Lepisosteus oculatus: one gene and its partner. The protein of the gene in region 2 interacts with the protein of the main gene of each other region in a pairwise test. Links are inferred from orthologs where the notes say so. Each region holds a gene or a part of one and is shown on either strand. Other genes may lie near its edges.

What was found.
Region 1: the proteins of tpp2 (region 2) and ppp1r16a interact in binary tests that used the Homo sapiens proteins (3 or more experiments, as listed by UniProt). The two-hybrid records come from large-scale screens. The link is inferred for Lepisosteus oculatus from reciprocal best matches to the Homo sapiens genes TPP2 and PPP1R16A.

What each region holds. Positions count from the first base shown.
Region 1 is NC_090701.1:29,029,289-29,036,371, reverse strand, and holds the start of ppp1r16a (protein phosphatase 1 regulatory subunit 16A), read right to left. Parts: upstream 3,004-7,083; 5' UTR 2,900-3,003; intron 1-2,899. UniProt on the Homo sapiens protein: Inhibits protein phosphatase 1 activity toward phosphorylase, myosin light chain and myosin substrates.
Region 2 is NC_090710.1:29,088,186-29,095,611, reverse strand, and holds the start of tpp2 (tripeptidyl-peptidase 2), read right to left. Parts: upstream 3,016-7,426; 5' UTR 2,895-3,015; coding exon 2,730-2,894; intron 1,363-2,729; coding exon 1,234-1,362; intron 837-1,233; coding exon 741-836; intron 243-740; coding exon 138-242; intron 1-137. UniProt on the Homo sapiens protein: Cytosolic tripeptidyl-peptidase that releases N-terminal tripeptides from polypeptides and is a component of the proteolytic cascade acting downstream of the 26S proteasome in the ubiquitin-proteasome pathway.

The DNA of each region.
Region 1 (7,083 bases), on a different chromosome or scaffold from region 2:
TATCTTTGCATAGTTTTGCCTGTTTCCTTTCAAAAGACTTACTGATTTTCTTAATATTTGACTCTGTGCTTCACGGAACAAAGGTACTGTACATGCTTCTACAATGCTGTTTAACAGCAAAGTTTAAGAAATGAGCTATACTGAAATGTATCACCTGAGACAGGGATATAGGCATCTAGATATGCTTATCTATTTAGCTGAGTGTCAGTTCACTTTTGAAATCAGCTCAATTCTTATTGGTTCGCTTGCTAATTATAGTTTTACTGTAAGTCCTTTGGTATCAGGCCTTGTGATATGGTAATCAGCATGAGCAGGTGCTCCTTTAAAACTGCATTCACAGAAACATGAAAGAGAGATCTGAGAGGAGATCCATTAGGCCCAGATCCTACAAACCTCAACAAACGTCTTGTAGCAGTGTATTGAAAACCAGGCAATACAGCTGTGCCAACAAAACTCATTGAAAGACTTTTCCATTACAAATGATGGCTTTAAAACTGTACAAGGTACCTGGAATTGATATGAGCTTTAAAACAAATTGTGACAGACTGTATCTGCATCATGTGTGCACTGGGTAAAAGATTTCCCTTCACCCGAAACACTGTGAAGTAGGTTAAGCCTGTGGTTAATATTTGTATAAACCATTTTTCCCCTCTGGCTTTCTAACAGTTTTGCACACAATTAAGTCACAATGCCAGGAAAGCTCTCAGGCTGAGGCAGGTGGACTTTAATCCAGGTCATGTGAGCTGAGGCATTCAGAGCCTCAGTGACAGCACAAAACCTGCACAGCCGGCAAGCTGCAGAGAAACCCAGAGAAACAGTTAAAACAATGCTCAAAACTTTTTGCTGAACTGCAAAATTTGTTCCACCTGCACACCGATTCCAAATGAACACTCTATAAGTTTCTAGAATCCATGACAAGTATAATCCTGCATATAAAATAATTTCCAAATATATGTGCCTTTTAAACTCATCACAATCTATGCTCATCACAGGGCACTCTGGTTTAAGGTTTTGGTAAAAACTTGACTCTCCCAAAAACAAATTTCCTACCATCTTCACTGAACTGGACCCAAACTGTCACAGGGACAAACAACAAGCGCTGGGACATGCCGACTCCTTTTTGATCTTCCATTTTTGAAAGTGTAAAAATTCACCTGTTGAGCCCTTCCCCCCATTGTACTCTCTGGTGGTGTCCCTGCAAGTGTTGGTCTGTCTAGGAGGCAATCAGCCACCCTGACCTTTGTTACATTATAAGGCTTTGCTTGCTCAGCGAGCCCAGGATCTCATGCAGACACATCATTTGGAGACAATTAAATGTACAACACGCATCCTAGCGATGTGTTTTCCCCTCTTGTTCACTGTCTTACTCGGCTATCTGTGTGTGCAGGGGAAACGTGACATTTCCAACTCCACTACTTTCTTCTTCTCAGACTTTCAGCCAGCCGTTGCCATTTTCTAATCGTGTGTCCATCTCTGTGGATCCGAGCCCATATTTTGACACTCTTTCTGAAGTAGTTTTTGCATATTGGAGACAGTCTCAATCGGCACAAACAGAATTCGATCCAATTTTAGGAAATGAGAAGCAAGTTCCATTGCTGACTAAACAGCACCAGGAAACTCCCACTGTATTTCACTGCGGCCATACAGCAGAAGTCAAAAATGGCCCTGAAACACGCATGAACACACACACTCAAAGAACACGGAACAAAGCAGCGTTAGGTCATAAATGTAAAGTAGCATAAAATTGCAGCTCAATTACTTTACAAGAATGCATGAAATTGCTGAATTGGAAGGAGTGCTCAAAGATGATGCTGTCCCTGGCAGGAGGCCCAGCACAGCAGTGTGAAGAGAGTAAGGAGAGGGAGCTGCTGGTGTATCTCGAGCAATGCGTCAGTCAGGGAGAGTGTCCCTCAGTCAGCAGTCTCTCTGTGCCAGCCATTCATTCAGTCAGCGTGCTGCATTTGCCAGTATCCAATCAGTTCTGTCAGTCAGCGTGCTAAGGAACAGTCTTATACAGTTGATAAAGTGTCCGTGCTACCAGTTTAGAGATAGGGAATACCGTACAGTACTGTATCTGAGACCGCTGTTATTGTAACCTTTACTTTTCCTGACCCTTATCATTTGAACTTTCGGTCTTTAAAACCATAGTCACGTCAGGTTAATTACTGTATATGATGTTCACTCACTGCTCCCTCAGCATATAGAAATCCGACCTTAATAGGCTACTACGGCTGAGCCTCTGGGTTGTAAAAAGTTTTAAAAAATGATAGTACTTACAAAAACAGCACGCTGCTCTCTCTTGTAGGACAGAAGAAGACAATGTCAGGTCACTGTGATGACAGAGACTTAATTACAGCACCATTTTAATTGTTCAGTCTGGACAGAAACCGCGGTTCTGTTAGAGCATGAAATAGGCTTTCCCTGTCTCTCTCTACAGGTTAAATGAAGCGAACTCGCACCCACCACGTCTCTCAGCATCTCTCCAACAATAGTAAAAGTGAGAGACTAAAAGCAACCCTGACACACGCTAGACACGTCAGGCCAGTATCAAGATCCCAGAGCCGCCTGTTGCGCTGCTTGAGAAACTCCCATAAGAAAACGAAAAGGGCAACTCTTCACACCCCTGCAGAAAACGAGTGCAAAGCAACGCCTACCCGATTCCGACACAACCTAGCCTTTTGGAGAAAGAGACAGAACAGCTATGGAGTCAGCCCCGTGAACTCAGCCGCCACGGCGAGGTGAGCGGTGCTGCCTGCCACTGACATCGTGTTGCTGCTGAACTTCCCGCAACTACGCCGCCGCTTCGCCTGGCTTTGCTCCGAATTCGAAGTAGCTCCGATAAGCCATTGAAAACAGTACAAGGCATGAAAGAAACAAAATCAAACGATGATCGACCTACCTGTTGAAGGAGCCGCTGTCACAGCTTCCTCACTTTTCCCATTCGTGCTTCCCGTCCTCGCTCTCTCGCTCTATTTTCCAGTTCCTCTCTCTCTCTTTCTATCCCTCAGGGGAAATGCTTCTCCATAACAACCGTTCTCGTTTCCGGACCTTTTCCTGACGACATCAAGCGGCGACCGGGAACAGCTCAGCGGTATGGGACGTTTTTTCGAAGGCGCAGAATGGATAAATAGAAAATAATTATATACAGTAGTAATAAATATAACAAATATTAATAAAGTTTAGAGTATTTTGTACAGCAATCATCGGATAATGAGGTTACAATTCGAACTAACGTAAAATCCAGAAAAACAGTTTAGATGCGTCTGTAGGAATTGGAAGTTTGTGAAAAATCAATATTTTCTCATAAACGGATAAAAACAAAACTCAGGCGGTCACAGACAACTGGTAAATCAACAAGAAACTCCCTGAGCAAGCTTACACGAAGAAATATAAAAATTCAAACGGTTTAAGTGAGCAGAGGGAGAGTTTACCGTTACAAAGTACTGTGAGGATCGCAGTAAATCGGTTATGAAGGAGAAGCCCTTGGCGTCGGCATGTCTTTTTCTGTATTTGTATTCGGTATTTGTGAAATAAGAGTAACATCAAGAATAATGACGAGTGACTGCCTACTAAACCACGGGTAGTCAACCTTGACAACTGGAATTCTTGGCATTACAGCATTTTGAGCCTGGGGGGAATTGATCCTTAATTAATTTACCAGAAAATTAAAGATAAAATGGAGTAAAATCCTGGAGTGGCTGATAATCTAGGGTGCCAAAGTTAACTACCCCTGGCCTAAACTGTCAAAAGGCTGGACCAAAATTTCCACCCCCGTTCCCCAGAATAGTGAGCAGAGATACAGGGTTGAAGCAGGTTCTTTCTCTGGAAGGGACGTTAAACTGAAGCCCTTACTATTTGGTAAAGATCCTATTGCAGTATTCATATGTTTAGGGATGTTAACAATATCCTGACTGAATTCCACTTAGTGCCTGCACACTTTGACCTCCTTCAGTTTCACTCTTCTACCTCCTCTTCATGGAGAGTAAGCTGGGGTATTCGAAGAAAAATTCTTAATGCAATAAATTGTATAGGGCTAATAAAGTGATGTTATGTTATGTTATGTTATGTTATGTTACCTTATCTGCAGCTGCTGTCATATAATGGCTGACATGTGTCATCTAATTGGGAGCTACACAAAATCAGTCTACTATTGACAGAAAACAAAAGTCTGTATGAGACTGTTAATATTCTGTTTCCAGCCCTCTCCAGTATGTAATGTTCAATAGGGATCCACATTTTGTTGGTTTATTACCAGTTTAAACTACAATTACAGGAAACTTGTATTATAGCATTAACATGATAATACAAGTTAAGGGAATCGGGATGCTTACTGCAGTAGCTGAGCACACTACAGACCACAGGGGGAGCTCACTGTACAGGAATCAGCCTGCCTATGGTCCATAAGCAGTTCTTCGTGTTTTGATGAGCTGAGTGAAGGAGGCTGAAAACACAATTTCTGACTAAATATATTGTCCATTATATAAGAAAGATTACTGCAAGGATGACTGCAGGATACCTGATCTGGCATTTTTCTAGAAAAATATGAAATGATCCTGCCCACAAATTGTTTGCAACCTGTGTGAAACTTCATTGCCACAGTCTAGACAAACTGAGTTCTTTAGTTTCCTTTGGACGCATTAACAAGCACATTAAAAATGAATTTCCCCCAGAAAGAGGGTATCAGCTCTAAAAACTAACCCTACAGCCTCACTCCCTCGGCTCCATACAGTCTCCCATGCTGCTTTGATCAAACATTTGTTACACACAAAACACACATCATGTTTTGACATTACAGGAAAAATACTTTGTTCTAAGATAAATATATACATCTTCTCTTCCTTGCAATAAAATACAGAAACTGCAGACAAATAAAGTTAGCTCAGAATCCCTGTTAAGTGATACTGCAATAAAATACAGATTAGCAAGCATTCCCCGTTATTATTTTCTTTAAACATACACAGCAGTTGGCTCACCATGATTATTTTAAGCTCGTTGTGAATCTTTACACCACTGAGACTCTTTTTGTTTTGTGGAAATTTTCTATCATACAGACCACTATGAAAGTGTAGATGTTCTTGTTTGAGTAGCATACAGAACCTTTTATGACTTTTATGCTTCATAAATTAGTGCCACCCAAAGAAGGCTCAACAGCCCAAGTGCTGTGTTTCTTTTCTTCTCTTTTCAGCAACAAATAAACCTTTACTTGTTCCTTTGCAGCCTACACATGCTGACACGGCTACCTACTTGAACTACTTAAAGATAGATACTTTATTGATCCCGTGAGGGAAATTACAGTGCAACAGCAGCTTAACACAGATAACACAGCAACAGTGTAACATGGTACAATAATAATAATACAATACAATCAGTACAGTGAGAAGTGCACTAAGAAGAGTTACTCACAGTCCAGAACATGCAAAGAACAAACAAGAACAGAACAGTCCACAAAAAAGTCATATTGCACAATATGAATATAACTATAAATGTATTGCACAGGTCCCTGGCATATATTGCACAAAAACGGTTGTAAACGGGAAAAGTTTACTGTTCAGTCCAGAAACAGGTCACTGAAAAATAATGTCCATCTGACCACTACATAGTACAAAAAGAGTTTCATATAAGAAGAGGCCATTTGGTCAATCTAGTCCATTTGGTAGTAGCTACTGTATTTCATCTTACCCACCTCCTCAAGATCCCATCTCATTTAACATAACCAGGGGAACTGCCTTCAACACCATGGCTGGCTAACATATTCCAGATTCCCACATTTGTATTGTAAGTTGCCTTGATATCGTCTGGGCAAATAACAGTAAAATAAATAATTTAAAAAGCAGATTAACACAACAGCTGGAAGTGAAAGACACTGCTCTTTTGTCTAGGGAAGACAAGGCTTGAAAACCCTCCTTGATGACTTTTTTTGTGCGTTGCGTTTCCAGCTGAGTGTGTCTTTTACACAGCTGAGGATAATCTCGGTGTGTGAGGGAGATAGTGCTGGCATGAGTGGAATCATTGATCTCTCCTGCAGACTGCAACAAACAGAGAGCTCTCTCCCCCTGGCATCCCTGGCTATTGTCAGGTCAGTGCAGTGGCTCCTGGAGTCGTAGGGAATCTGATTAGAAAAGGAAGAACAAAGTCCTACTGCTCAAAATCAGGAAGGGGCTTTTTAAGTGCCTGCTGAACCTTGTAAATTAGCACCACGGCAGATTTACGTGTTGTTTAATGACTTTATTGTGTCCTTCTGTGAGAAAATAAACTGTTCGCTTCTTACTGGTACCTAATTTAAAAAGACGTGAGCTGTGCTTACCTCCTCTATACAGCTCTCATGTATAATGTACTGTATAGCCCACAGACACAGCAGAGCTCCTATGTATATTTTAGGTTCTGTTTATAACACCCTTCTGGGGTGGCAGCTTAGATCATCTGTGGCTCTTGGTGTCAGCCTGCACTGTGCTAGTTTTGTGTAGATGACTATATACTATTCACATCAGAAACAGCCACTGGCCGTTGTACAAGACCAAGGATGGGTGTGGGTCCCATTACCTTTAATTTGTATTCTCTGATGGGCCAGTGTAGCGACCATTATTCCTCTCCCTTGGTGACCAAACTGGGAATCAAAGATTAACAAAGCTTCAGGCCATTCTGATCCTTTCCAGTCTGATCTTTAGAGAAAGTACATTTCACCTCAGAGATTGTATAGACCAGTGCCAGGAAAGCTCCCATCAGATTAAGTTTCTATGTATATTTGTATTTAAAATGAAAAAAACATCAATTCAAGTTGCAAAATGCTGCATATTCATGATACAAACAAAATAATTTATATTGTCTATTGATTCAGTGATGTGAGAGGTTTATCCTCAGGACACGGACAACTATAACATCTCATTTTCCTTCAGATGTAATACCCCAGAAATGCTCTGTGCAGCTTTGAGGGACACCAGGAGAGTTACTGCCTGAGATCAGTTCTGCTGTTGACCACTGGAAGGTATTCCTCACAGACCTAAGGGTGCCTAGCATCCTTGCTCCATAATTAGACCATTGTTAGAGGCCGACTACCTTTATGGGTGAAATCGGTGTTTCAAAACC
Region 2 (7,426 bases):
ATGTACCAACAGAGCCACTCAAAGAGCTGGGCTCAGTCTGCTGTGCACTGATGGTGTGGTAGGTGTTCATCAGGATCAGCAGAGCCACTGACGGCCCTGTGTTCAGCGTGTGACTGTTCAGCAGTTGTCCAGCTGACCTGGGACAGAGTGGTGTGCGTGCTGTCAAACTCCTCCTGCTTCCGGCAGGCTTCAGCCAGCACAGCTCGATGGGACGGGTCCCACAGCTTCTCTTTGCGGTCCTTCTGCACAAAGAAAACACAAAGACAACCACAGGTACCTTAACACCTGCTCCCACAGTAGGGCACTGGGCACGAGGAACTAAAAATCGACCTTAATTAAAAAGCAAATCCAATACAGCTCATGCATCCTTGAATTGGAAACTGCTTTAATCTGTGTACCTGACCCTTTATCTATTACCTATCTGCTTAATGTATCTGTTTTTGACTTACTACCTTGTAAAAATAGCCAAAGGGCTCAAGAGTTAAATGATCCCATTACACTTTGCTAAAGTCAAACGAAGGCTGAAAAGAAAAAAACAAAATAAGCCTTGAGACAACATAGTGGGTAATTTGCACATTACATTGAGTGGGAGAAAATGGGATTGAACGGGACAACAAAACCAATATATAGTGTTCCCACTGTTTATTTACTTGTGCTTGAGAGGGCTGCAACAGCCACTGAGTTACCGAGTATCAATAAAAAATACTTAAGTCGAAAGTAGAACGTGCATGCACTGTTACCTGTACTCTCTCTTTCAGGGCTTTTGGAAAAAACTCGTATCCATTTTTGACACCGATGTGATACTTCCCCGATGGGTTTATCCATGTTGCAGGAATCTACAAGAGCAACAGACACGATGGCGTGAGACTGCACCTTTTGCATTAAAAACAGTATCAACACAAAAGGATTTCGAAAGGCATCGATTTTTCGGCTACTGAAGAACATTTCTGCGTGGTTCCGGGTAAAAGGGGAACCTCCCGTTCAAAGGTCAAGAAGTTCATGTAAACGAATGGACGTGAATCACAGCGGGCTGGAGTAAGCTCCTCAGGTCTGTTTGACCCTAAGAAGGCCCTGGACATTTCTCTCTACTCATCAGAGCGGCAGAAGAGCTAAAACACAGGCAACCACACAGAGCGCATGGCCACCTCCACTGAATGCAGCACAGCTGTCGCCATCAAGCTACAAAGGCAGGACAGGAAGAGAGCACAGACTCTGCTGACCGAGGGGCCTGACCTTCAACGTCCTCCCCGACAGGCCCACCACAATGCCGTCCTTCGGCTCCACCACCGTGGACATGTTCACATCCCCACTGCCCGTCGTGTCGATGATATCCACGATCTTCGGCTTCCCATCGGACGTCACCTAAAAAGAGAACGTTTTGACCGCGAGAGATGACCGAGAGCTCGAGGCGTGTGCAGCCGCTGGTCCTGGTGGGCGGCCGCACTCTGTCAATACCTGCTTGCAGAAATCAAGAAGACAACTACGAGGGAAGCCCTTTCAATCGAAGGGGTAGATACTTTATTGTCCACTGCTGTTGGGAATTTGTCTTTGGCTTCTCCCACGGAGAAGTACAAAAGAGCAAGCAATGTTTTTAGCCATTCTGGACAATTTTGCAAATGGCTAACTTCTAGTATAAAAGACTGGATTGATGTATTCATGTACAAATAAACACATCAATACATGGCAAGAGGTAAATAGGTCAGATTCAGTTATTGACGGCTTTCAACTTTTCTCGGAGCTCGGTGGATCACTGCAGTATCGCTGCCTAAAGCCCTTTCAGACACTGAAAAAATAGCCAGAACTAAATTTTATTTTTCTCCCTGTGTGCAAAAAATACAGATGGGGAGAAAAATGCACCCAAACTAGTGTCTAAAAGTGTCTAAAAAGTGTTCTGTGATGTAGACATATTTCAAAAGAAAACAGAATTGACATTATTGAAAAACTGAGCACTTCAGAATCAAGTTATATGAAATCCTGCTAACCTCACAACAGATTTGATTAAAATAAAAACAAATCAGAATAATGAATAAATTAAAATGGACCATGATCTTTTTTTTTTTTATTTGATGGGCAAAATAAATTCACTTACAATAAATGATAAATCAGTGCTAGGTTTGTTTATATTACACTGTCAGATTCATAATTAAAATATATCAGTATAACTACTCATATAAATGATGTCAGCTAAGTTGGGTTTTTTTTGTCGATTTTAGCTGCAATAATACACATTAAATTCCTACAACTGGATTTTTGTTTTAATGCCCAGCGTTTTCCATCTCATTTCATCACCTTGAGGATGTTGTTTTTTTTTTATCTCCACCAGCTCCGATAAAAGACAAATTTCATTCAAAAATATGAAACGGGACAACCCCTGCCCTGTTGCAGCTGGCACTGTTCAAAAACGTTTCAGCTAAAAGAAAACCCTGAAGGAAATTGCGATTGAAAATGGTAAGCAAAGCAAAGCAGAGCTGGGAACAGCTAGCGATGCAAAACAAACGTCAACAAACAAGTCTCGCTCAGGGTGCCCAGATACACAAGAGATGACTGGACACGGCAATGTGCCATTGTTAACCGACTTCACCGATGCAGGCCTGTGGAGAAGCGACCATGCATAAAGTCACTGTCCCACGCCGCACAGCCGGCTTCCTGCCGGGTAACTTCCATCAAGTGACTCCGGCGGCTGCCGACGTGCGGCCTGCACCTCCCCGCACTCCCCCTGCTGGTGTTACCTGCATACCCGGGGCCCCTGGGTCCACGCCGGTATCGAGGATGGCGATGAGGACGCCCCGACCATCGTACTCGGGGTACCGACAAAGGAAGGACGCGGCCCCGGTCTCTTTTTTGGGAAGCAGTCCGTGGAAAGGGAAGGGTTCTTCAGCACAATGAGCAGCCATGACCTGACAAAACGACGATGATAAACAATAACGAGCCGGAGCGGGGGATGAGAAACCGTATACACACACACTGCCTGAGCCGGAGACTGGGGGAACGCTTTTTAAAGAGACAGAGTCCACTTTTTCAGCCCGGTGCCGCGTTCAATGTTCAGGCGTTTTCCTTGGGCAGTTTACGATAACTCTTCTGTTTGTCCGTTTTTCTGGAAGTTACAGTCGATTTAATATCTGATTGCACAAACCAAATCATTAGGTAACGAATGTAATTACAAAAAGCACCCAATTACTGCAGCATCCTTTAAACTCACGGTTTTGGTTTTCTTTGAATAACAGTAAATATTAAATAAAAGATGCTATGCCCATGAGTGGTGGTGTATTCACAAGTGTAGACAAGCTGCCAGCTATGAAGGAGAGCAGTGAGGAGAATTCAGGGTCTTTATGGAAAAACTGTGCACCTATGCAATCTGCTTGAACTCAGTCCATTGGCAAACGAACAGCCTCAGCACACCATATTGTACAGCCAAACACACGGTTTCCACAAAGGCTGCAGGGTGTCCCGTGTGCCTTTGCTTCAAAATAATTTGAGTTGATGTTTTATGAAAATTTTGTTTTCGATTACCAGCATAGGAAGTAACAATCTATGCAAGATGGGCCGAACACATAATGAAGCAAAACAACGAATATGAAGCACAGCTTCTGTATAGAAAATACCCTCCTCCTCCAGAGAGGAGACTAGGAAGAAGCTGACGAAGTTGAAGTCTAGCTCCTGACCAGAAAGTCCAGAGTTCAGTCCCGGGTAGGGGGCAGGTGATGTAGCTTGCTCTAATTCCTTCCAGAGGGCTCCCAGGTCCACTCAGCCTGCTTTCCACTAGAGTACTGGGGGTTAATCCTTCTGGGGGTAACAGGCTGGCTGGCGCGTGGTGCTGACCTCATCACCTCCACCTCCAGTGTCAGATGGTTGAGGAATAATGGTGGCCCTTGCCCCCCCATTCCCCCTGGGCCTTAATGGCCTGAAAAGGGACCAACCATCCTGCCCATCTTTCTGTGTTGGGTCTTAATTGAAGAATTACAATCCCTAGCTATAGGCTAAGCCTGGCTTGTGTGAAACTGGAACCTTAATTCATGGCAATAATAAACTACTCACAACTTTGTTTTACAATCTGCACATCTCCATACAGATAAACTGGAAGTGCCCCAGTCTTAAGAATCACTCCAGCTGACAAGACAAGATACTCTTTAGAGAGAAGAATTAGTTCAGGTTAGCCCGTCTCCAGTGAGGTGTTTCATGTACAACAAGATATGTCTTACACTACAGGCAGTGGTGTGGAGTATAGGTCACGGCTTTTACCCCCAAATCAGAGGGCTACAGGTTCAAATCCTAAATGGGTTGCGATTGTCGCACCCTTGAGTGAAGGGTCATGCTCAGATTGGTCCAAAAAATGCAGAAACGAGTCTCAAGGATGTTGCTGTAAATGAGAATTTATTCTCAATTGACTTGTTTTGTAACCTAAATTAAAAAATGTAAGTACACCAATCATAATTCATTTATCTCTTGTCTCCATGCAATTGACTACCTTCCTTAGTACTGTTGGTCTTGTCCCTCATGCTGTCCGAAGTGCCCTGTTCATTTTCATCTGTGTGTGACTGAACATAACAGTTGGGGAGAAAAATATATTTGTTTCAAAATACTTCCAAAGAGTTACAGTTTATGAATGCAAAGAGAAACATTTGGTCCTCAGTGGTCTTTTTTTTTATTAAAAGAAAGTATGTTTCTCTGTGTTGTAAAGTAGTTCGTTTAGCTTTTTCTGAAGAGCCAGACTTTAAGAAAGTGGTGATTAATTGTCTGCCAACTCCCTTCATTTCCAAAGGAATTTTCACTCAGTTCAGCAGTTTTGCTCAAAAGACACCCTGAGACCAGGGATTAGGGATTGTCAGCACTGGGTATGAGTTTAGAGAGAAAGAGTGTCTTTATTACCCCAGGGGAAGCAAGTTGTTTTACAGCAGCAGTGTTGGTGTACAGACAAACAGAACAAAAAGACAGGAACAACAATATACATACATATTTACATTGAAGGTCAAGAGTTACGTAAGGATATGGCTACAGGTATGAATCTGTTGGTTTTGGAGCTGGAGAGTCGGTATCTGTGTTCTGATGGGAGTAACTGTAAATTATTAAACAAGGGGTGTGAATGATCATTGCAGATGGATTTTGCTTTGTGTAAAACACGTGAATGATAGATGGAGGAGATGGCTGGAAGATCAGCACCAAGGACCTTCTGACATATTTTCACAAGGCTGCCCAGTTTGTTCTTGCTTCTCAGATTCAGGTTACCAAACCAGCAGATCAGGGTAAAAGTTAGCACAGATTCAAGGCAGGGCCAGTAGAACAAAACCAACAAAGAATCATTGACCTTAAAATACTTAAGCTTCTCTGTCTGATATGTTACAAATGAGAGGAGCCCCTTTGGCACATCCCTCCTGTTTTGGTAGTTAACCAGTTATTTCTGGATATAACCTCTAGCTGTTTCTTGGAAGGAGCCAATGTCTCAGCTTCAAGAAGATGGCCGAGCGGTTTGTTCCATACTCCCGCAACCCTTTGGGTAAAGAGACACCTCCTGTTTGCAGTTTTAAAGGCACTTCACTATATACATACAGACTTCTTCTTGAACTTCCACACGTCAGTTTTGTAAGAAACCGTAAGCATTCATACCATAAATCAGTTTTGAATGTTTTCTAAATAGGTGCATTAGACATAATGCATGTCTAGACAAGCATAGGACTGATTCTTACTGACAAGTGAAATTGTGCTAGATGGAAACTTCTATACCTCCTACTGTTTTTTGATAAATCTACACTAATTATAGTTGCAATGTTAATATTCAGTGTTTCAGGTGCACTTCCTGGTGCTCTCTGGGTAATTATCTAATTTGTTTTCATGATTCAACACGAAAACAAATGAGAAAAAAATGGAAGAATGAAAGACTGTTTTGGTTCAGTCTTGACCTCTGGATTTACTACACTCTATAAACTTTCATTTCTGTTTGTTCTCAGTCCTTGTAATCTCATCCAATCTTGTTCAAAATGCTAAAGATTAGTAATCAAAGTGGATCGGTAACTTTCAGAAACTAATTGCATGTTAATGTTGTAACTGGAGGCTAGTTAATTAGGGTTGTGCTACAAGGAAGTTTGAGATGCATCACTTGAGAGCTGCAATTTTTTATGTCGTAAAACCAAACTCAGCTTCACAAGTGCACAGGACCGTGCAGTCATAAATGTGTGAAGCAGTCATGAGGGAAATTTTACAATTACATTTATATTTACCTTTTATTTCTTGCATCATAACTTGGTCAGTGGTATCTAAAAACATGTCAGACGCAGTTCTGACTGAAATTGTTCCAACTAAACTAATGAAGAATTTAAATAACAATCGTAGCAATCTGGGGAAGGCTTCTGTCCTGGAAACTGGAGGGTATCAAAGGAGCAAAAGGTACTGTATTCTTACACTGAAAGAAGGGATTTTCTGTTACTGTGCTGAAACACACTAGCACTGCTAATCTAAATCTCTTTAGATGTAGATCTAGACTGGGAGGGTTGAGTTGTCTGTCATTATGCTTGGGGACTAAGTCACACCACTTTATGAAATCCATTTGGCGATACCTGTGTTGTTTAAAAGTCTGTCTCATAAAGTACAGGGTAACTATATAGGATTGGCCACATTTGTGGTTTCAGAGGTTGCTGTTACCACAGGCAAACACCAGAGCATATTAAACCAAAAAATTCATCATGTCTTCACTCTCCCACATGCTAAGCCCTCACTAAAAATGGTTTCTGGTGCTGCCACTATACATGGATTACGTCTGCTTTATTGTAAATGAAAATGATCGATTTGAGTTTATACACATGGACACACTGACCTGCCTGAAGTGCTTCCTTACCCTGTAACTTCTCTAGGTAAACTGCTTTGTAGTGGGTAAGCAATTAATTACAATTCCTCATGGTCCTAGAATTTTGCTATTATTCTAGGTGGACAGGGGGTGTTAAGAAATGGCATGTTCGTTATTTGAGATGTCTAAGGTCTCATGCTATTACTCTACATTAAACTTCACGACCAGTGTCCCCCCTTGCATTCTCAGCTGTTGACACTAGGTGGCAGCTTACTACTATTTAAATGATCTGTCAAACCTGCGCTTTTGTCGGAAAACATGTTCCGTTTGTTTTCTGAAGTAATGTCTCTGCCAAGTTAGACAATCTCTTTCTTTTCTTCACAGGAAAAAGAAACAATACAGAATCTTACCCACACAGACTGGGCCTGAAAATAAAACAAGGAAACAAAGCATAACTGTAATAGGCCTAACTCTATTGTAAATGCTGCATTAAGCCCCTGACAACAACTGTTAACATGAGGTTACCCCTTATGAGCTGTATGTGCAAACCAGGAGTGATCAGCATTTTAATGTAAATCAGTACCATGTGACCTCAGACATCCTAAATAACATTGCTGGCACTCAAAGTCTAAATGAACATGCATTTCTTAA